Linked DNA regions of Coturnix japonica. The protein of the gene in region 2 binds, or shares a complex with, the protein of the main gene of each other region. Links are inferred from orthologs where the notes say so. Each region holds a gene or a part of one and is shown on either strand. Other genes may lie near its edges. The genes, in order: cytochrome b-245 chaperone 1, cytochrome b-245 heavy chain, cytochrome b-245 light chain, RAC2 and NCF2.

Region 1 (3,661 bases), on a different chromosome or scaffold from region 2:
GAAAGCAACGTAATCAGAAAACTTGGAGTACTTCAAGAGCACATCTGCAGATAGAGGTCTGTTTTGATACCTGACACGATTACAAGTTCTTATTTAATACTAACACACCTGGTTCGGTGCCACAGTCAGGCTGCATCAAGAGCAGCTCCCCATTACACTTGGATGAGCCTTTCAAACCAGCAGTAAGAGCGTGTTGGTCTCACAAATGGCTGGAAGTGAGATCAACCTGTTCTTTGGTCAGATAAACGTACACAGTTTCTGTTACCAATGGAACACACGACTGAAATCGTTTCGTAACTTTCACTTCTTTAGAGGTAGAGTGTTTTTTAATAGGAATGTGGGTTAAGTCCTGAAGAAACAGAGGCCAACAGACATTTAACTGCTGGCATGGAGGCAGATTGCTCCATCACCTTGCAGGCTATTCAGACCTCCCAGAGGAAACTATCAGTATTTTCTAATTCAGGTCTTAACTCCATACAACTCCTAACACAAGTTGGTAAACTCGAGTATAAGCAGTTCTAGCACAGGAAAGGAACTTCTAGCTCTTACAATTTCTGTACTTGTAGTACCAGCAAGTTGATAGAGGCACAATGACATTTCAGCTCAAGACAGAACATGTTGACTAAAAGAGGTAGCTTTTACTTCATAGAGTACCTTGGAAAATTCATCATTTTAACCATTTATGAAAACAGTGGTCAGAACAGAGGCAGTACACACAGAGTAGCACACGGGCCCAAGCCAAACACTGAGCCCAGCTATCTTAAAAGCAATGCCTAAGTTACTATTTACTTCCTCATTACTACAGCAAAATACTAAACAAACATAGGCTGCCATGGTGTCTGACATCAGTCTTTTCCCTACCTGAAGGAATGTCTATTTTCTTCCTTCCTAAATACACAGTTAAAATAGTAAACATTTAAGTCTAGAATAAGGCTATTCTTTGGGTAGTCTATTCCCAGAAGTTAAACAGAACATAAAGGCATTGAATGACCAACATGATCATTTGTTGGTTCTTAGTTATGGCTCCTTATTAATTCTAAGTCAGATAAGTTGAGCAACCTGATGTTTAAAAATCCAGACTATCACTCATGATTTCCATTGCTAATGGCAAGTCAGTAGTAGAGAATATAAAAGTGCCACTACCTTGCATCACCTTAGTGCATATATTAAGCTGCTTAAGACCAATTTAGCATTATATTCACTCATTTACAGGATTTCAAAAAACCTCAAAGCACTGTGTTCTGAGTTAAATTCAGCTATTCTGCATTTCATATACTGTACCTGCAGATCTTTGCATTAAGTGGAAGCTTACATCTATAGCTCCAATTCATTAATGGGAAAGTACATTTTTAAACCTGTACAATAATAAATAACTACTCCTAGGCAATTGTGACGAGCTGACAAAGTTCAAAAGACAGCAGTGTCCACATCCAGGAACTAAGATAGAATTTGCTTTCAATTCTACAATTGGGAGCACAGCTCTTGAAGCAGTTTAGCACTAATGAAGGTGCCCTAAGACAGACTGCTCCCACTGTAAGTGCACGTGTGGAGAAATGCCCAAGTCAAGACTGAAGAATTTTATAATGAAGAACAACCGATCTGTCATTTCCAGATCTTTGAATGTCTCCGCTTTCTTCAGCTCATGACTATTAATATTCATCTTGGGGTTCATCAGCATCACTAGGCTCTGTTTCGCTGCTCTCATAGACATCTCCTTGGCTCTCTGCTCTGTCCAATTCCAGAAAACTGGTGACAAGCTTGGCAACTGCTTCCACATCACTGTGGGAAAGAGAAAACAGTGTAGGAGTTAATAGAACTGTGCTGATGAAACTATAACACGTACATTAATTTCTTCTCCAAAAGAGAGGTCAGGTGCTGGAATGGGCTGCCCAGGGAGACGGCTGAGTCTCCATTCCTGGAGGTGTTCAAGAATTACTGAAGTTCTGCACTAAGGGACGTGGTTTAGTGAAAAATAGTGGTGATGGGTGGATGGACTAGGTGAACTTGGTGGTATTTCCCAACCTTGGTCATTCTATGACTCTTGAGAACAATCCTTTAAAGGGCCAGCTGATATGACAGAGCACGACTGACAGCATCCTACATACAGATGCACATCAAGCCAAGCAATTCTTTGTCAGAACACATTAATCCTCTTTTCACAGTTCCTGCTGCAAGTGGTTTGAAAAAGTTACACCAAATAATAATCATATCAGCAGTTCCATATCATCAAGCGGTTCCATGGTGTAATGGTTAGCACTCTGGACTCTGAATCCAGCGATCCGAGTTCAAATCTCGGTGGAACCTAAGAGTTTTGTCAGGGACATTGCTGGGAGACTTCCCAGTCTGATCTGCCCTTCTGTCTACTATCCCCTGCTGATAGTTCAGGCTGGCAGTGAAGAAGTTAGTAAAAAAAGCCTGAAGGCTATCAAAGATGATTTCAGGGGACTGGGGCGGGTAATCGAAGGAACAGGTGTGCAGGTGGTTATTGCATCTGTACCTTCAGTGGCAGGGAGGGATACTGAGTTGGACCTAAAAACCCACCTCTTAAACAAATGGTTAAAGAGTTGGTGCAGACATAGGAGTCTTGGTTTTTTTGATCATGGGGCAATTTATTTGGCTCCTGGCATGACAGCTGCAGACGGAAGCGGCCTGTCTCAAAGGGGTAAGAGGGTTCTAGCCGAGGAACTGTCAGGACTTATTGACAGGTGTTTAAACTAGGTAGGATGGGGGAAGGGGACAAAACGAGGGCCGCTGGGTCTGAGGCGGCAGTTCAAGACTCAAAGCAGAGCTCGCTGGGTGCAGACAATGGAGTTAAAAGGCACGGAGAGGGGTGGGGAGATGCTGCCTCTCTCAAGTGCCTGTATACCAATGCACAAAGCATGGGGAATAAACAGGAAGAATTGGAGTTCTGCGTGCGGTCACGTGGCCATGATCTCATTGCGATCACGGAGACGTGGTGGGACAGCTCGCATGACTGGAATGACAACATGGAGGGCTACGTGCTTTTTAGGAAAGATCAGCTGGCAAGGCGGGGTGGTGGAGCTGCTCTTTATGTGAGAGAGCAGCTAGAATGTATTGAACTCCACCTGGGGGAGAGTGATGTAGAAGTCCAGACCTTGTGGGTGAGAATCAAGGGCCAGGCTGGCAAAGGTGACACTGTTATGGGCGTGTACTACAGGCCCCCTGATCAGGAGGAGGAGGTTGATAAGGCCTTCCATAAGCAACTGGAAGTAGCAGCACACTCCCAGGCACTGCTACTTATGGGGGATTTCAATTATTCAGATATTTGCTGGATGACCAACATGGTACGGTCTTGTTCAACATCTTCATCAACAGCCTTGATGAGGGGATAGTGACCACCCTCAGCAAGTTTGCTGAAGACACGAAGTTGGGAGGATTGGCTGACACGCCTGAAGGCTGTGCTGCCATTCAGTGAGACCTGGACAGGCTGGAGAGCTGAGGCAATAAAGAACCAGGATGAGGTTTAACAAAAGCAAGTGTTAGAGTCTTGCACCTGAGAGAAATAATTGCATGTGCACCAGCTACAGGCTGGTGGGAAGAGCTGTGAGAGAGGAGCTCTGCTAGAGGTAAGATCTGGGCGTCGCAGTGACGACAGAGTTGCATGAGCCACGTGTGACGTAGTACCAAAAAAGCCAATGGA
Region 2 (4,303 bases):
ACTCTAGCTCCAAAATGTCCCCTATGTGTGCATCTCTGCAAAAGGAATCTGGGGAAATTAATTGCCTCATCTTTTAGGAATATGTTCCTATGTAAATTGTTTGAGAAACAATTGGAAGGGAAAATGGATGCACAATAGTTCCAACATCAATGCCTTATTCATCTCCTCCTTAATAAAGCAGCCACCATGCATATTCACTTTAATTACCATGAGTACAATTGTTACCTGGAAACATCTTTAGGATGAGATTTCTATTCAGAAGCTCTGACAACTATGTGCATTCAGTTATCTGTTTATTTGACTCCTTCACGAACCTGCTGCTGCAGCAAATTCATCCAGTTTCAATCAAATAAAATGAGGAAAAATGCTGCATGTGCACTCTGTGCCAAGATAATGTATGTTTTGTACTTACGCCAAGGAGTACTCTGGTGTAGAAGAAATTTTGTGGGAGATCATATGCAAGATAGAACCACCAAAAGAGGAAGACGTTTAACCCCAGCCACACAAGCTGAAAGACAAATGAAGAGGAAACTTTAAACTCTGTTGTTAAAGATCATTCATGAGAATTTACACAGCACAGAAAATGGCCAATGAGATCACTGTGTTTCTATTTGTAGAGACAGCTGTGCTGCTGAGTATGAAGGGCTCAGCAAGGACTATATATATATATATACATATGTATATATATATACTTCTTTTTCCTGGTAGAAATTAGCTTTGAGGAGTATAAGAATGGCAATAAACCCAAATACAGATATTTGCACAGTTCAAAGCATTTACACATGATTATATAAGGACTGTAATGTTACATGTGTCTAGTTAAGTCTGTGAGTCCAGTTGAATCTCTAAACATCATTAAAAGTTAGGGCCTCTTCCAAACAGCACTTCCTCAGGCATATTAACCGTTGCAAGAGGAACACTTAATTGCTATGCAACAGCACTAAGAAGCTTGAGCTCTAAATATAGATTGCCTTAATTACACCCGAGGCCTGACCATAACGTTTTCTATTGTGTAGGAGGCTCTAAATATGAAATCAGTCACAAGAAATATTTAATGTAGGCACCTAGGTAGAGTTTAGACTACCCAAAACCAGGCTTCTTCATAGCTATACTGCAGTATTCTCTCACAGTTGTGTATTCTACAGTGTGGATTTCTACAGGAAAAGAGAAGTTATTAGCCCTCCTCCAAATTATTTAAGGAGCTCATCTGGCTGCAGAAATTATAATGAATTTGGCCACTTGCCCTTCAAATCAGCTGTTGGCTGATTTCACGTACTGAGGTATCTGGTACAATCTGTATCACTGCACCTCTATTCTAAATAGATTAACCAGGATGGAAAAACAGAGAAAAGAAACTCCAAGAACTAGGAGAAAACTCAGTCCATGCATGTAAGTTAAGTATACCAGAAACTGTGATTTGACAGCCCTCCTAACCCATATTTTTGCTGGTCCTTTGGCCCAAACTGACATCGTAAAAACCTGGGATTAGTTTGGCATTGAAGACATTAGATATATGGATTTAGTCTGGGAAAGTGAAGGGATTTCCACCAGTTTAAGGGAGTATATAGGGAATCCCCAAATCCTTATTATAAAATTAATCTCAAGATCAAATGCTCACGCACTTAAAACGAAACTGTGCTACTTCCAAGTACAGTTGCCTCACAAGATGCCGATCTGTGATGGACTCTCATAGTTCTTGGTGCTGACCCATTCAGAACATGGACCCTTTGCAAAACACTGCAGCACCCTTTGCCAACTGGAGCTGGGTGGCAAAGTTAACTGCCACCCACACTCTTCAGCTAGGGCAGGTGGAGGGAGTGTGTGCTGCCATTAAGGCTGATAGGTATCTGCTTCACTGGGGCAAACCAATACAAATCATGTCTGTTTCTATCAGGCATGGGACAGCCCTGCAAAATAATGCTGTAGTGGACAGAGCAGAATGCTTTGGTAAGGATTTCAGTGAACAGTACTTACATATACTAACCCAACTTTGCAGAAATCCCTTAAATGGCGTTATGTATTATATTATAATATAAGCACACACATATACTTGTACTGAGTGTGATATTGCGCTGATGTGAAAAAAAGAATTCTGAAATACTAACTTCTGCCTACGTTTTTTCCCAGTTTATCTCGATGAAATGAGAATGAGATTTTCAGTACTTCTAAGTCTTGCATGGAATGAATTGAACATACCTTCACAGCCACTCCATGCAAACTATATACAAAATGGATTCAAATGCAAGTTGCCCTAATGAAGAATTCATGACTTTCTGCTCTAAATTCTGGACTCTCACTCTAATGCTAATTTTCTATCCTCAGGACACATCCACCGTGCTCTCAATTACATCTACTTCTGTGTACAAAAGTGCAAGAAAACCTCGTTGTTGTGATTGCTTTCTATTTTGAAGTTCAGTCGTTAACAATGAGATGCAGTGTTATTTTTTTCCCTTAAGACATTGCTGCACCCAAAAATAGCAGGTACTTAAATTCATTTCTAGCAAAGAAAACAGCTGACATACAACCATTACTCAGTTCACAATGAAGCCTACAGCGACACATGTACCAGGGAGAGCTCCATAAAAATCATGTTCTTGAAGTGCGTCACTGCACTTGCTGCCCTGGCTTGAGAATAATCAAACACACACAGTATTCACTGACACAAAGAGATCTGCTTATTAAAATGTCCTGTAGAGCTTTTTACAGGACACAAATCACAATAAAAATGGTACTTACGACGACAAAGATGGACAGTCCTTCATTCTCCACCCAGTTACCCATGTTTGCCCGAGATGAGAATGCACAACAGCCCCGTTCTTTCTGGGACACTGTCTGTAACTTCTCTCATAAGGAAGTGAGAGCAGAAGCTTACAGCAACCTGTTTCCTTTTTCATTCATTTAGGAAATAAATTAACCATTGAATCATACCCATAGTTCAATTTCAAATGTGTTTCTACCAACTTTTTATAACTCATATATATATAAATGATTGAGATAAACCATCTCTTCCTCAAGATACGAACTGTGGATAAAATAAATAACATAACTAGTGAGGCTTTCTGCTGAAAAATGTATTGCCACTTTAAATAACTTTCAGCACTGAACTGTAATACACAATTCACAGAAGAATTCTCTCATCCCTGGCCTTGTCTTTATCATCCCAGGTCAGAGATGCCATTCCTGCAGATCCCTTTTGACAAATAGTCACTAGAATGTTTTATGTTTTGATCTCTTGAGGTTCATGGAAGTCTCCACATATAATCAAAAGCTCTTCTTTTCTTGGGACATACATGCAAACCTTAACATCTCCTCTCCACTTGGGTTAACAGGAAGGACACATGTCACTTGACTGTCCCTTTTTTTCTTCTTTTTTTGTACTCTCACACAGTTCCAGCCCTGGGAATCCAGTCACTATAGAAAATAATGATAATAATTATAATGAAGACTTTGCTTCTGTGATTGGAGAGAAGAATATGGAAAATTGTCCATGTATATTTTGTAGCTTACAAGCTCATCAAACATTTATTCCAAAGGTATTCTTTCTTTAACTAACAATACCTTTGAGGTAGTTTAATGATTTCTGAATGTTTTGCCTCTGTGGTATCACAGTTCCCAAACCCACAATAAAGAGCATACAATGAAAAGTGGACAGGGAAGGCAAAGTGTCTGTTCTGATTCATGGATGTCTATTCTAGCTGTGAAGACTAGCCAGCTCCTTCCACCCAGAAATAGCAGTACTCTACCTGTCTTTTCTTCCAAGCAAGTGTGTGAAGCCAGGATGCTCTGAGCTTCAGCAGACATAAGAGGCAGCTCCTCAGACATAAGAGCCACCAAAACATGGACTCACTGCCTTAGGAGGCTTCTGGCAGGCCATAAACCCCACAGGGGCAAAGCTCCGATCAGTCACAACTGTCAAAATATGACACTCTCTTGACAGCCTAACTAGCAGCCATGAGGCAGAATATATTTTAGCTGCTCTCAGTCAAGCAGTTATTAAATACCCATAGATTATTTCACCACCTGAACTCAAGGCATAGAGGTCTTGAATACTTCCAGAGCTGGTGGATGCTGTAGCTCTCTGATATTTGGGAGGGTTGCCATTAATATGAAAATCGACAGGACAACATTTAGCAAAAAGCCATTGCATGGTTTCTGTATGTAACAGGTGTGGCTAGAGTTGGTAGCAAAACCACCCACACAACACCCTCAGTTTAATTCTGGTGTTTGAACCTTCTGAAAACGTGAAACATCATTGGTGTAACATCCCAGAGATGTGTATGTTTTGTGCTTTGGTCTAATGAAA
Region 3 (4,073 bases), on a different chromosome or scaffold from region 2:
GAACCCCCATAAGGCAGCAGCCCTGGGCTCTGCCTTAGCCCTCCCCAGTTATTTATTCCCCCTCAGTGCTATTTATTGAGACCTCCATGTGCTACTGAACGCCAGCCTGAAAATAAAAGCCTGACCCCACAATGTGCCACACTGGGATAAATGGGAGGGCAAAGGGTTGAGGTGCACAGGGTCCCCCTGTGGATGCTGGAGGGGAGGTGCCAAGGATGCGGGGATAGAGGTGCATTGGGAACCCCCATCCCAGCCACCCCAGTGGATGCTGGGGGGCATCTCCCATCCCCAAAGCACACCCAGGGGAAGGGGGAGGCAATGGGGAGGGAAGGGGGGGGAATGGGGGCGGCCCCATGCCAGCACCCTGTCACCACCCACTCCTTTCTCACAGCTCTGCCCCAAGCACTCACATCCCATGGACTCAGCGCCACCTACCGGGGTTGTTCCATATGCTTTTAGAGCACCCATGGGTGCTGGAGGTGGGGGGAGAGGGGATATGGGGCTGGGGGTGTCACCTCTGGGTACCCTAACCCTAACCACTGCAGGTCTGTCCCATCGCTGGGGTCACTAAAGATTTGGGCACTGAGCTCCCAACTCACACCCAGGGCACATGAATGGGGTGTGATCAGGAAGGATCTGGGGCCTTTCGGTCCTTTTATTGCAAAAAGCAACCAGAAAAGAAAAAAGACAATGTATAAAACGTGAAGAGGTGGCGCAGCAAGCAGAGCTGCGTGAGCCCACAATGGGGCTGTGAGGCTGGGGGAGCTCCTTGGGATATGGGGGCACCTGAGCAGCCCCCAGGGATTCTGAGGAACCAAGGGGGGGGAAGGAGGGGAGATGAGCACCCCTAGGGGTCTGGGGACCAATGGGGGGGTGAGGGGTACAGTAGGGAAGTGAGTGCAGCACTGGGACCCCCAGCTCCGTGTTACTCAGCCTCTACAGGGATGGGGTTCACCTGCCCCCCCACTTCTGCTGCCTGTTTCCTGCGTGCATCAGCAGGGGGTCGGGGTGGGGGGTTGCTGGGGGGCTGTTTGATGGTGTCCCCCATGTGCGGCCGCTCGCGGGGCTTCTGCTCAATGGGTCGCCATTCCTCCCCACGCACCGCTGCCTGCAGGGCCAGGGGGGAGCAGTCAGCAGGGAGCCCCCTCCTTCAGCCCCATAATCAGCCCCCATTACCCCCCCAGAGGAGCTCACCAGCAGGTAGATGCCACTGGCAATGCCCAAACAGACGGTGCCCAGGATGGTGGAGAGCAGGAAGCCAGCAGGGACGGCCAGCCTGAGGGTACAGGGGAAGGTTAAAAGGGGGGGGGGTTCAGGTTCACCCCCCAGCCCCAACCCCACTCACGCTGCGTGCAGGATGGCACGGATGTAATAGTTCCGGGTGAGCGGTCCAAACACCTTCAGCACTGCTGTCATGTACTTCTGGCCACTATGGGGCAATATGCAGAGTCAGGGGGGCACCCGGCCCCAAAAGACCCCCCCCCTAAATATATATAGGCACCCCAATAGCACCCCATCACTCACCAGCGCTCCATGGTGGAGCCCTTCTGCCTCTTGCTGCGTGGGTATTCCAACAGGCAGACGAAGGCGCCTGCAGCACTGCAGGGGGATGGGGGTCAAGGAAAAGGGGGGTTTGGAGCCAAGGGTGGGGGTGAGACCCCACAGGGAATGGGGCAGAAATGGGGCCAGGGTTGGGGGGCAGCTCCATAGGGAAAGGGGCAGGAATAGAGCGATGTGGGGCCACAGAGAGGGAGATGAGGGACCCCCCCCCCCCCCTCCCCGCCTGCACAGAATAAGGTGCCCCCTCCCACCCCGAGCCCCATAAGGATACATGGCGTAAGCTGCGAAGTACCAGCCCTTGAACTGCCCCGCCACCGCCACGATCCCTCCGGTCAGCATGACTGCGGGACAGCGGGGACACTGCTGGCATCCCGGCTATTAACAGCGGGGGATGCTTCGCGTGGGACCCCCACGAGCCCAAACAGGGAACGGGGCGGGGGGTTGGGGGTTAAACCCTATAGCGGCCGGGCTGGGGGGCAGCGGGGGGGAGACCCACGGTGACACACGATGTTGGTGATACGCTCCGGCAGCGCTTCCGCGTCCTCATCGCCGCTCACTTCCTCCATCTCCGGGCGGGGTTGGGCCAAAACGGGATGGGGGGGTCGGGGGGGAACACAGCCAGGGGTCTCTCCCCATATCCCGTATCTATAGCCTCACATTCTCAACCCTACACCCCCAGCCCTGAACTCCCTTCCCCATATCCTCACCCCCATCCCTGCATCCCCATCCCACATGGGACCCTTTGACCCTCCCCCCATCACCCAGCCCCTTTAACTCCCCATCTCCCCCCCGCACTCACTCAGCCCCGCCGCCAGCGCCTGTTCGTTGGCCCACATGGCCCATTCGATCTGCCCCATGGTTCGAGCTCAGCCTTAGTTCGGGCTCGGCCCAACCCGACCCGGAAGGCAGCGATGGAGCCGAACAGCCGAACCCCTTCCCCTCCTTAAGCGACGCCCCTTCGAGTAACCCACGCCCATTCATTACAAAGACACGCCCCCACGAAGAGCCGGGCCGTAGGGGGACACGGGGTGATACGGGAATATATAGGGTGACATGGGAATATATAGGGTGACATGGGAATATATAGGGTGACATGGGGCAGGAGCAGCCCTAATGGGGACCACGGAGCGACTCGGGACTCAGAGCAGCACTGCGGCTGGAAAACCTCTATTATTTGATTAGAAAAGAGTAAAAACCAGGCAATGGGAGGAGCCACATCTGGGTCGGGATGGGGACAGATGAGCACAGCATCTCACAGCCCCAATGCAGGCAATGGGACGGTGGGTCCCTGCCTGTGTGCCCCCCAGGGGCAGCCCCCATTGGGCATCCCTGCTGTCCCCAATGGTGTCCCCATCACGGTGTCCCCATCACGGTGTCCCCTGTTCTCAGGCAGAGTGGCATGGCAGCCCATCGGGGCCCAGTAGATGCTGGCTGGGGGCATCCAGGAGCTGTGGGCCAGGGCCAGGCTGTGGGGACAGGAGATGTGTTAGGGGACAGCACGGAGCAGGAGGCTCAGGACCACCCCCACCTCCCATACCTTGGTGTGTAGGATGTAACGAATGGCCCCTGGTACCGGATCCATCACCACGGCTGACAGCAGCTCCTCTGGCAGCACCGCTGTGCCAACGGGTCGGCCTCGAAGGAACCTGCAGCAGGGATGGCACCCAGATGTCCCCAACCCCACCCCATGTCCCATGGTTCCATCCCCATCCCCATCCCACCAGTCCCCGTCCACATCTCCATCCCTATCGCCATCCCACCAGTGCCTATAGCCATCATCTCCATCCCCATTCCCACCCAAATGTCCCCATCCCCATTCCCACCCCCCCAGTCCCAAATGACAACACCCTTACTGGTCCCCATTGGAGCTGGGTGGGAAGCTGCGCCTCACCACCTCCACAAACTCATCCACTGTATCCTCCAGCATGAAGACGACCGCATTGGGGCCAGCATCGAAGGTATAGGCCACCTGGGGACAGGGACACAGTGAGAGGGGTGCAGTGCCAGCAGGACGGGGCCATAGGGGGGGGGCTGCCCTACCTTGGTGCACCCATGGTGGGCATTGAAGCGATGCACCAGGGCGATGATGCGCCGCGAGATGTCATTGAGGTAGAAGATGGGGGGGAAGGTGTCGAGGCAGGTGGCGTGGAACTGGTTGCTGTCCTGCATGGTCAGCTGGCCAAAGGTCTCAAAGTCTCGATCCTGGATGCAGCGAGCCATGCGGGTCATGCGCTCCGGCACCACCACCTCAGCACGGTACTATAGGGGCAGCACCAGGGGGGGGTCATCTCATGGATCCCATAGGATTCACTTCCCATGGCCCCTCAGTACTCAGCCATTGGAGGAGGTGGCCATGATCCCCAAACCCAACCCATCCCACCATGCTCACACCCCGACACCTCCCCACCTCCCCATGCAGCCTGTGCTGCTCATCACCAACCATCCAACCCACCTTCAGCAGGGGGCTGGTGTCCACACTGGTCTGCATCCCCGCCGTGCTGCCCACCGCCTTC
Region 4 (4,383 bases), about 55 Mb from region 2:
TTATGCTTCTGACACAGCCGCGAGGCTTGGAAACTTTCCACGGTTGAATGTTTTTGGGTTGCAGCCAACACTGAGTGACGGATAGGAAAGTGCTACACACCTGAATGGGTCAACTGCAAAAAACCTCCTGTGGCTGTGGCAGCACGAAGGTCACCAACCTTTGGAAAAGCAGTTTCCCTCGGCATTCCTTCTTTCAAGAACAAGCTGGCTTAACACCCACTGCTCTTGGTCTAACAGGCCTCCTGACAGACCTAGAAATTCTAATTAATTCTGCGTCACCGCATCCCTTCCTCTCTCAAGTGTGCCTCTATCTGTCTACCCATCAATTCAGGCTGAAGACATGAACATGTGCGCTCTTTTCCAGGCATAGCAATGCAAGCTGGGGGAAGTAAGGAGGAGCTTCAGACTCTCATTCTGAGGAGTGAAAGGAAGGAGTAGAGCACCATGTCTCTTATTTCTGAAGGTGACTGCATCCCTCTCTTTGTTGCTTAGCTCTAAAACTCTTCAAAATCCCAAGGACAAGATGAAGGATATCCTATCAGCAGTTCTCATAGGCTGCTTTAGCACAGAGTGGAGAGAGAGAAAATGGTTTGTGGGGACTCTCTTGCACAATTCTTAGCTCTTCTAGTAGCAGCTGGATAAAGAAAATTCAGTACATCCTCTGATATGTTTACTCCTCTTCATGACAAACACATAGATACACCTAATGCTTCTTTGTACTAGTAATTCAGGAGCAGATGAGGAGGAGGCACAGGACATTATTGCTCCAGGGGTGGTGGAACAAGCAGCCATGGGGTAGATGCTGCTTCCAAGAGACTGCTTATTTCACCACTGACACTGAGGGATAGACCCATTAGAGCTGGAAAGACCAAGATCACCCAATCAAACTGCCAGCCCATCCCCACCATACCTACCGACCATGTCCTCAGTGCCACATCCACACGGCTCTGGAACACCTCCAGGGACGGTGACTGCACCACCTCCCTGGGCAGCCTGTGCCACTGCATCACTGCTCTTCCTGAGAAGAAATTCTTCCTAATATTCAATCTGAACTTTCCCCAGAGAAACGTGAGGCCATTACCTCTTGTCCTTTTGATACAGGGAAGACATGGGAAATCCTCATTGCCTCATGTCCTTTGCTACTCTCACTGCAGGTCCTCTTGCCTGTTTACACCTCTTTCAAACTCTGTATGCTACAGATGAGAGGGGAAAGCCCACTCTTCCAGTTTCTCACCCTTCTCCAACATTACCTCAGCTCCCATGCAAAAGCAGTTTGGTGCCCCCAGATGTTGGCTCGGATGGGGCAGGAAGGCAGTGGGTTGAGACATGAGGTGCAAAAGAAAAAAATTACAGCAATAATCTCCCAAACCACAAAGTCATGCACGCTCCGCCTACAGCTAACGGCCTCACTGCAGAGCTGCGGTGGGAGGGGAGGAGGAACCAGAGGGCGATTGAGTGAAGTTCCCTCTTCCACTTCCTCCCTCCCTGCAACCTGACCCCTTGCTCCGGCTCAAGGTCTGATACCCAAATTTGCCCGTGTCTACTGGCTGTTTGCCTTGACCTGACTTTCCTTTGCCCCAGGCACTGTCCTCCACCACAGGTCTAAGGACATGCAAGCCATCAAGTGTGTCGTGGTGGGAGATGGGTATGTATCCCCTTCTTTTTCTGTGGGAGGGAGGAGTGGTGATGAGGGGTGAGGAAGAAGGTTGCTGCTTGCTGAGACCTCCCCAGCTTCATTTCCTATCTCTTACAGCTCTGCATTGCATTTCTTGCTCCTCTTTCTTCACCATGGCAAGGAACTTGGCTCTGAAGAGCCTGGGGGGGGAGAAGAGGGTGCTTTGAAGGGCATTTGCAAAAGTGGAACTGTCACTCACAGGCCTGGCAGATCTGGCTCACACACAGAAGGCAGTGGCATCACTGCCAGATTCAACCTATGGGTAGGAGTCAGATTGAAAATCTGAGAGGTGCAAGCGCCCTGCTGCAGGGGAATGGCTCCTTGAAGGCCATCTGCTCACTGGGGCTGGCCAAAGGAAGATGCAGAGCCATAGTGCTGATGAGATATCCTCCAGTATCTGCACATTCAGCCTTTCTTAATGTGTTGTCCATTTTTCAGTGTGTGGGGAGAGTATTTGGTGATGGGCTTCTGTGGGCGCAAGGAAAAAGGGATTGCAATGAGATGGGTGTAGGTTTATACCCCTTGGAAGCATGCACTGTCCATGTCCCATGACCTTTGGAAATCGATCTAAGCTGACAAAAAGCAAGGCAGTGGTGCTGGGGACCTGGGGTACAAGGTCTGTGGATGGGTGGGATGAGTGGATGAAGGGAGCAGAGTCCAGCAGGGAGCAGGTCATCAGGCATGGAGGTGGTTAATTCATTTCCTAGCTGGGAGCTGGCCAGAATGTTATCTGGGACAGCTATCAGGCAACAGATGAAGAGACATTTGCAGCAGCCCTGCTCCCCACAGTCACTTCCTCCTTCAGATCTACCCCATGGAGGAAGAAGTTTGCAAACAGCAATAGATGTCAGACATATTCTCAGAGGCTGGGGCAACAGGGTTGGAGGAAGAGACAGGGAATGAGACAGTGCTGTGTAAACATTGTTACATTTTGGAAAAGTGCACCAAAGGGTACAGGCTAGAGCTGGAAGAGCAACAGTACTGGGCATTGATATGTTGTCCTGTTAACCTGTGGGTTGCCCTCCATATATTATGCTGACTCTTGTAACCACCCCTCAAGGCAGCATTCCCCTTATAACACCACTGACTCCACTACACGTCCTTCTGACTGAAATCCTCCTAAATCTTTTGTCTGCCCCATAATTCTGCTTCTCTGTACACTTCCCCCACCCTCCAACTAGTTGTCACCACCCTGAGCTCTGTGGTTTTATTTCACCCCCTTCATCTCCCTCTCAGCCAAACCAGCCTTGTCATTTTCCACCAACTCAAACCTACTGACCACAGGACCTTCTGCCATCACTTAACTGACCCCTCATGTTCCCCCATAGTTGTTCTGGCCTCATAGCCAGCCCCATCACATATCACCTGCCTCTTAGCTCTCCCTGAGTTCAATCACAGGAACCTGCTTTGCCATAACCTTCACCCCTTTGGTGACCCTTTGTGCTCCTCTCAGTTCAGTCACACTAATTCAGAACCTTCTCTCCTTTCCATGCCTAACTCACCCCCTTGGCACCACAGGTCTTCTGAGCCGTTCTGCATAGAGTGAGCCTCCATGGTCATCTACAACAAGAGCTAAGAGGGAAGCTGGGGAAAGAGAGGGAACTCAGTGAGGAGGATATAAGAATGGGAGGTGGCAGAGAGAAAAAAAAGCATCAGAGCATGCTGAAGAACTGTTTCATCTTCAGCTGCTTCACAGTGTGATGACTGAGGCAAGTGCCTCACCACCAGAGCAAAGATGCCAACTGTGCATGACAAGGGCACACCAACACACAGAGCCACAGCTCTGCAAAAGTAGACTTTGCAGGTATGGATGAAAAGCTTGGAGGCTGCTTCATGGCCAGATGGAGTGTCTCCACCAGTCCTCTTGCCCATTCTGTCTTGTGCTGCTACCCTGACTTATTTCTCTCCACCCTGATGCGGTGTGTGGGTGGGAGAGGCTGAGGAAGGAGGAAGCACCAGCTATATGCGCAAAAAAAGTGTGAGCAGCCTCAGTCAGCCACAAGGAGAGGCACCTTACTGGTGGCTTGCAGCTCTTGGTAAGGTTGATAGTGCAGCTTGCAGTGGCTCATAGATGGTGCAAACTGTCAAGGCTGCGGACAGCTGGGAAGCTTAGTTCTGACATTTCTGCACCAGGACACTGTGAGGCTATCCTGGCTATGAGTGTGCAGTACTGTGCACACACTGGAAAAGGGGCTCTTATCCCCACCTGGATGTAGTCTAACTGAACAGTCTTCATACCAGACCATAAAAACAAGCTTTTGTGCTCAAAGACAACCGACTGCTCTGGGTGACAGCATATCTTCCTTCCATCCGGCAGTCAAATCTATGGCTATGTGATATCTAGTCTTGTGAATGTGATAATCCTTCCATAGTTCTCCTAACAAACTTGTAGCTTTGAGTCATGGGAGGGTTTCTCCATCTCACCCCTGTAAGACTACCTGTACTACCATTGTTCCCAGCTATGTTTTTTATTTCTCTTCCAGAGCTGTGGGGAAAACCTGTCTCCTCATCAGCTACACCACCAATGCCTTCCCAGGAGAATACATCCCCACTGTGTGAGTGACACATCTGCAGTCTGGGGGTGGGTGGGAGGCACGGAAAGCAGGTTATAAAGGAATGCTGTCGTGAACCCCCATACCAGTAGAGGAAGAGAAGCCAAACCAACATGACTTCAGATTGTCATTCACCTTTCACCAAAAGCACTTAGA
Region 5 (3,564 bases), on a different chromosome or scaffold from region 2:
CTTCCATTCCCAGGGCTCTTGAAGGGCAGCCACACCGTGTCCTGTATGAGTTCATCCCTGAAACTGCTGAGGAGCTGCAGGTCCTGCCAGGAAACATCGTCTTTGTCCTGAAGAAAGAGAAGGACAACTGGGCTACGGTGATGTTCAATGGGAAGGTAGGGGGTCTGCCTGGCACAAAAGGGAGATTTACAGAGGCCTGGAAGGAGTTTCTGAACCCAGTTTCCTTGCATCCCCTATTTGAGGGGCTATGAGCTGGTAGAGGCAACCTCCTGGTGTCCTGCTCCTGTTGCTCCTACCAGGCAGGGGCCAGATGTGCTGCTTTGTTTGCCTGACCACATGTGCTCAAGGCAATAAAGTGAGCTGGTTCACCCTTGCTGCCCATCTTGGGGTGCCATACAGAAATCATTCCTTCAATCTCCTGGACGGTCGACTAACACCATCTGTTCCCTTTGTCTCTTCCCTGCAGAAAGGGATCGTCCCCTGCAACTTCCTTGAGCCCATGGAGCTCCAGCACAAGCTGCACGTCCAGGTAAGGAGCCCAGGAGGAGCTGGTGGCCCCAGGAAACCACATAGATCACCCAGCAGGATCCATGCCTGCAAATCTCTCTTACAATGCTGTGGGACTCCTGGCTCATGGCTATCTCATGGCTACTGCCCTGTTCCACCCCAAATCAATGGACAGCAGGCAAAGCTTAGCCCCAGGACTCCTGCCTTGAGTAGCAGGACGGGGTCCCCAAGGCAGCAGCACCCCTGGGCTGTGCCTGCTCCCCTTAGGGATGCTGACTGCCTGCACTGTCCTTTTCACACTGGCACAGGAGGAGGCCCCTCCCGAGCCCGACATCCCTGAGCCACCCAGCAGCACCGCTCCAAGGCCCCGGCGGCCAGCACCAGGTCAGTGTATGGAGGGGAGGGATGGGGGAACTGCAGGGACAGTCTCTTGTGTACTGTGATATGGAGAACCAGGGCTGGGGGCCATCTCTGCCTCTTTTATAGCGTGGGTTTAAATCAGGAGGCAATGCTGCAGCTGCAGCACCGAGGATGGAACAACAACAAAGCTCGAGGTCCCCTTTTTGCTCTTAATTAGGGCAGCAGCTAATGGGAAAAAGGGCCTGGGGAAAACAACAGGGCAAGTGACCCAGCTTGCATAAGTCCCAGAGCACAACATGCATTACAGGCTTCTCCATACAGCAGGGCAGCTGGGAGCTACGACTGCGCTGGGAAGATGTGCTGCTGGTGCTTCTCAGCACCTGGGGTAGGGCTGGGGCCAGAAGCAACTATATGACAGAGGGCAAGATACATTGTTGTTTGTGCTTTTTGTGCTTGCAAATGCATCAGTAACATCAAAGCCCACAGAGGAACAGCATCGCACCTAAAGCTCCAATCCCTACAAACACTGAACAGGCCCTACATTGTGAGCACAGTGACCACCTGAAACAACAGCAGGCAAGGCAGAGCCCTGGCCTCTTTGTGGTTACTGAGGAACCCCACAGAAGAACCTCACTGTAGCTGATACTGATCTGTTTGGGCAACCACAGCCGGCTCCAGGGCTGGGTGGTGCTACAGATAACAGCAGGTGTTGAAGAGAAGGGCTGAGAGGATCTGGAATCACATTTATGCCCACAGCAGTAAAGCTTACACTGTGCTCCACTTGTTGACCCATCTTTTCCTTCCTCCTCAGATTTCATTCCTGTTACATCAGCGCAGCAGAGAGAAGCCAATAAGGTAAGACCTTGTGCTGCAGTGAAAAGGTAGAGCCCAGATCCACATCACATACAGCTTGGGAGAGAAGCCTGATGCCCCAATTCACCACCTGCAGGAAACCGAACCGGCTGTCCCCAAGCCCTATATTGTCAAGGTGCATTACAAATACACGGTTGCCATGCAAGTCAAACCAGACCTGTCCTACAAGGAGCTCCTGGGCCTCATTTGTGACAAGCTGGAGCTGCAACCTGAGCACACAATGCTGAGGTGAGAACTGTCTGCTGCAGGAGTCAAGTTTTCGTGGCTCTCCCCTTACCTGTGTCCTCTGGTGCCCAGGTACAAGTCTGCAGTCAGCAAAGAGCTGGTGACTCTGAGCATGCAGAACCTGGAGGCAGCTTGGAGCCACAGCAAGGATCAGTGCCTGACAGTGTGGTGTGACTGCACAGAGGTGGGTGGCAGCACCAGCCACCAGCTCTTCTACTGGTGCCGGCAAGGGGCTCAATGGCAGAGGATGAAGCCTAAGCAGAGCTTATCTGCCATGATCTGGAACAAAGCAGAAGCCGCATGGTGACTTCACCAGCTTCTTTCCTGCCCTAGGGAGAGGGATTTTTACCTGACAGCAAACCAGAGGAGCCACAGAAGGCAACAGCAGAGACAGGACCAAGCCAAGTGGTAGCACAGTACAGTTATGAGGCCACCCAACCCGAAGACCTGGAGTTTCAGGCAGGAGATGTGATACTTGTTTTATCCAAAGGTAATGGTGCTCCTGCCACTGTGGGAGAGGGGAGGCTATTGTCATGGTTTTGTAATGTTACATTGCTATTTTCCTGCAGATGATCTTAACGTTCTGATCTGAGGCCTGCCTGCAGCACAAGAGGGTAATGGTGCTCCTGCACATCCCTAGGGTGACAAAAATGGCATCAATTTTATCTTGCAGTGAACGAAGACTGGTTGGAAGGGCAATGCAATGGAAAGATCGGCATCTTCCCCTCTGCTTTTGTTCGAGATGGTAACACTAAAGACCCAGAAATGTGATTTCAGAAGAGTTTAAGGAGACTGAAAGAAATTAAGAATTCAAGTGCTGCAAATAAGAAGTTCCCATGTTAATTACTGCATCTGAAAACAGACCTAAAAGTGCAAAAGCAGGAAAATAAAACATCTTTGCAATTTATTTCATTTTCTTTCAAATTGGAAAATAAAATAAAACTTTAAACCTTCTTTCAATTTTCTCCAGAAAAATAATGTAATAATGTGTTTTTCAAAGCCCGCAGCTCAGTTACATGGGGGGAAATAAACGTAACCACACAGACCTGGATGAAGAGAACATGGTTTAATTAAAGGCAAAGCTGATTTCAGCAGCTGCAGTTCTTGCACAGACAGACAAATAACACAAAAAAAGCTTACGACACAAACCAGTTTCTGTTGGGGTCCCTTCCCTCGCTCCCCCAGGCACCGGAGGGCAGGATGGGGGTCCCAGCCCAGAGCCGGCCGTGTTCCTGACACCGGGTTCTCATGCACAAGTGGAGCGGTGCGCTGGGACCTGGCACTGCCAGGAGTGAGGTGGTGAACCTGGGTCAGCTCGCTGAGGGTGCAAGAGTCAGCGGCAGTTCAAACACTGGAATGTCGCAGCTGCCGGGGTGCACAGCTCAATACACAAACTGAGGGGGCTGGGATAGGGGTGGGGAAAGGGGGGTAGGGGAGGGGGGGGCTGAGTCAATATTAGCATTGGGTGGAAACTTCACTTTTTGGACTTTTTAAAAGGAAATACATATTCGAAATGCAACAAAAAACGGTGGTGTTGCTAAGGTGGAGAACGTAGGGGAGCTGCTCACACCCTTAGAAGGGTACTGGGCCTCAGTTTTC

Evidence for each region.
Region 1: the proteins of cytochrome b-245 heavy chain (region 2) and cytochrome b-245 chaperone 1 are in contact, whole or in part, in a cryo-EM structure (PDB 8KEI), measured with the Homo sapiens proteins. The link is inferred for Coturnix japonica from reciprocal best matches to the Homo sapiens genes CYBB and CYBC1. Residues at the interface, in NP_000388.2 of Homo sapiens: Trp28, Asn74, Leu75, Leu76, Ser77, Phe78, Leu79, Arg80, Gly81, Ser82, Ser83, Ala84, Cys85, Cys86, Trp206, His210, Phe212, Pro266, Met268, Trp270, Lys271, Ile273, Tyr280, Tyr324, Phe326, Lys328, Leu335, Glu336, Trp337, His338; in NP_001028218.1 of Homo sapiens: Arg22, Leu26, Ala37, Ser41, Gly42, Asp43, Trp47, Phe50, Tyr51, Phe57, Gln61, Asn62, Glu64, Lys77, His97, Asp98, Gln99, Val100, Val101, Val102, Leu103, Arg108, Ser111, Glu115, Val117, Arg118, Tyr119, Phe120, Arg129, Ala131.
Region 3: the proteins of cytochrome b-245 heavy chain (region 2) and cytochrome b-245 light chain are in contact, whole or in part, in a cryo-EM structure (PDB 8X2L), measured with the Homo sapiens proteins. The link is inferred for Coturnix japonica from reciprocal best matches to the Homo sapiens genes CYBB and CYBA. Residues at the interface, in NP_000388.2 of Homo sapiens: Thr116, Ile117, Leu120, Phe121, Val123, Glu124, Asn128, Asn133, Lys161, Asn162, Pro163, Gly166, Leu167, Ala170, Val180, Thr183, Leu184, Ile187, Leu188, Thr191, Ser192, Thr194, Lys195, Thr196, Ile197, Arg199, Ser200, Tyr201, Glu203, Val204; in NP_000092.2 of Homo sapiens: Gln3, Ile4, Glu5, Trp6, Met8, Trp9, Glu12, Gln13, Ala16, Ile20, Thr23, Val27, Gly31, Phe33, Thr34, Gln35, Arg56, Arg59, Met65, Gly102, Phe103, Leu104, Leu105, Ala106, Ile108, Leu109, Ala112, Cys113, Ile116.
Region 4: cytochrome b-245 heavy chain (region 2) and RAC2 share a complex: the UniProt entries of both Homo sapiens proteins name them as parts of the phagocyte NADPH oxidase complex. The link is inferred for Coturnix japonica from reciprocal best matches to the Homo sapiens genes CYBB and RAC2.
Region 5: cytochrome b-245 heavy chain (region 2) and NCF2 share a complex: the UniProt entries of both Homo sapiens proteins name them as parts of the phagocyte NADPH oxidase complex. The link is inferred for Coturnix japonica from reciprocal best matches to the Homo sapiens genes CYBB and NCF2.

What each region holds. Positions count from the first base shown.
Region 1 is NC_029533.1:3,011,823-3,015,483, reverse strand, and holds part of cytochrome b-245 chaperone 1, read right to left. Parts: intron 2,305-3,661; exon of another isoform or gene 2,233-2,304; intron 1,780-2,232; coding exon 1,650-1,779; 3' UTR 1-1,649. UniProt on the Homo sapiens protein: Functions as a chaperone necessary for a stable expression of the CYBA and CYBB subunits of the cytochrome b-245 heterodimer. Controls the phagocyte respiratory burst and is essential for innate immunity.
Region 2 is NC_029516.1:102,024,848-102,029,150, forward strand, and holds the start of cytochrome b-245 heavy chain, read right to left. Parts: upstream 2,862-4,303; 5' UTR 2,782-2,861; coding exon 2,737-2,781; intron 509-2,736; coding exon 413-508; intron 1-412. UniProt on the Homo sapiens protein: Catalytic subunit of the phagocyte NADPH oxidase complex that mediates the transfer of electrons from cytosolic NADPH to O2 to produce the superoxide anion (O2(-)).
Region 3 is NC_029526.1:16,406,136-16,410,208, forward strand, and holds cytochrome b-245 light chain, read right to left. Parts: upstream 2,673-4,073; 5' UTR 2,656-2,672; coding exon 2,360-2,655; intron 1,902-2,359; coding exon of another isoform or gene 1,832-1,901; intron 1,600-1,831; coding exon 1,525-1,599; intron 1,430-1,524; coding exon 1,346-1,429; intron 1,277-1,345; coding exon 1,195-1,276; intron 1,109-1,194; coding exon 926-1,108; 3' UTR 631-925; downstream 1-630. Other genes in the region: MVD (diphosphomevalonate decarboxylase), read right to left, coding at 2,946-3,026, 3,098-3,206, 3,414-3,529, 3,601-3,819, 4,013-4,073. UniProt on the Homo sapiens protein: Subunit of NADPH oxidase complexes that is required for the NADPH oxidase activity that generates, in various cell types, superoxide from molecular oxygen utilizing NADPH as an electron donor.
Region 4 is NC_029516.1:46,920,063-46,924,445, forward strand, and holds the start of RAC2 (ras-related C3 botulinum toxin substrate 2), read left to right. Parts: upstream 1-1,436; 5' UTR 1,437-1,610; coding exon 1,611-1,645; intron 1,646-4,158; coding exon 4,159-4,230; intron 4,231-4,383. UniProt on the Homo sapiens protein: Plasma membrane-associated small GTPase which cycles between an active GTP-bound and inactive GDP-bound state.
Region 5 is NC_029523.1:4,321,502-4,325,065, forward strand, and holds the end of NCF2 (neutrophil cytosol factor 2), read left to right. Parts: intron 1-13; coding exon 14-155; intron 156-466; coding exon 467-529; intron 530-815; coding exon 816-891; intron 892-1,678; coding exon 1,679-1,722; intron 1,723-1,816; coding exon 1,817-1,968; intron 1,969-2,037; coding exon 2,038-2,149; intron 2,150-2,298; coding exon 2,299-2,455; intron 2,456-2,534; coding exon of another isoform or gene 2,535-2,557; exon of another isoform or gene 2,558-2,638; coding exon 2,639-2,736; 3' UTR 2,737-2,919; downstream 2,920-3,564. UniProt on the Homo sapiens protein: Subunit of the phagocyte NADPH oxidase complex that mediates the transfer of electrons from cytosolic NADPH to O2 to produce the superoxide anion (O2(-)).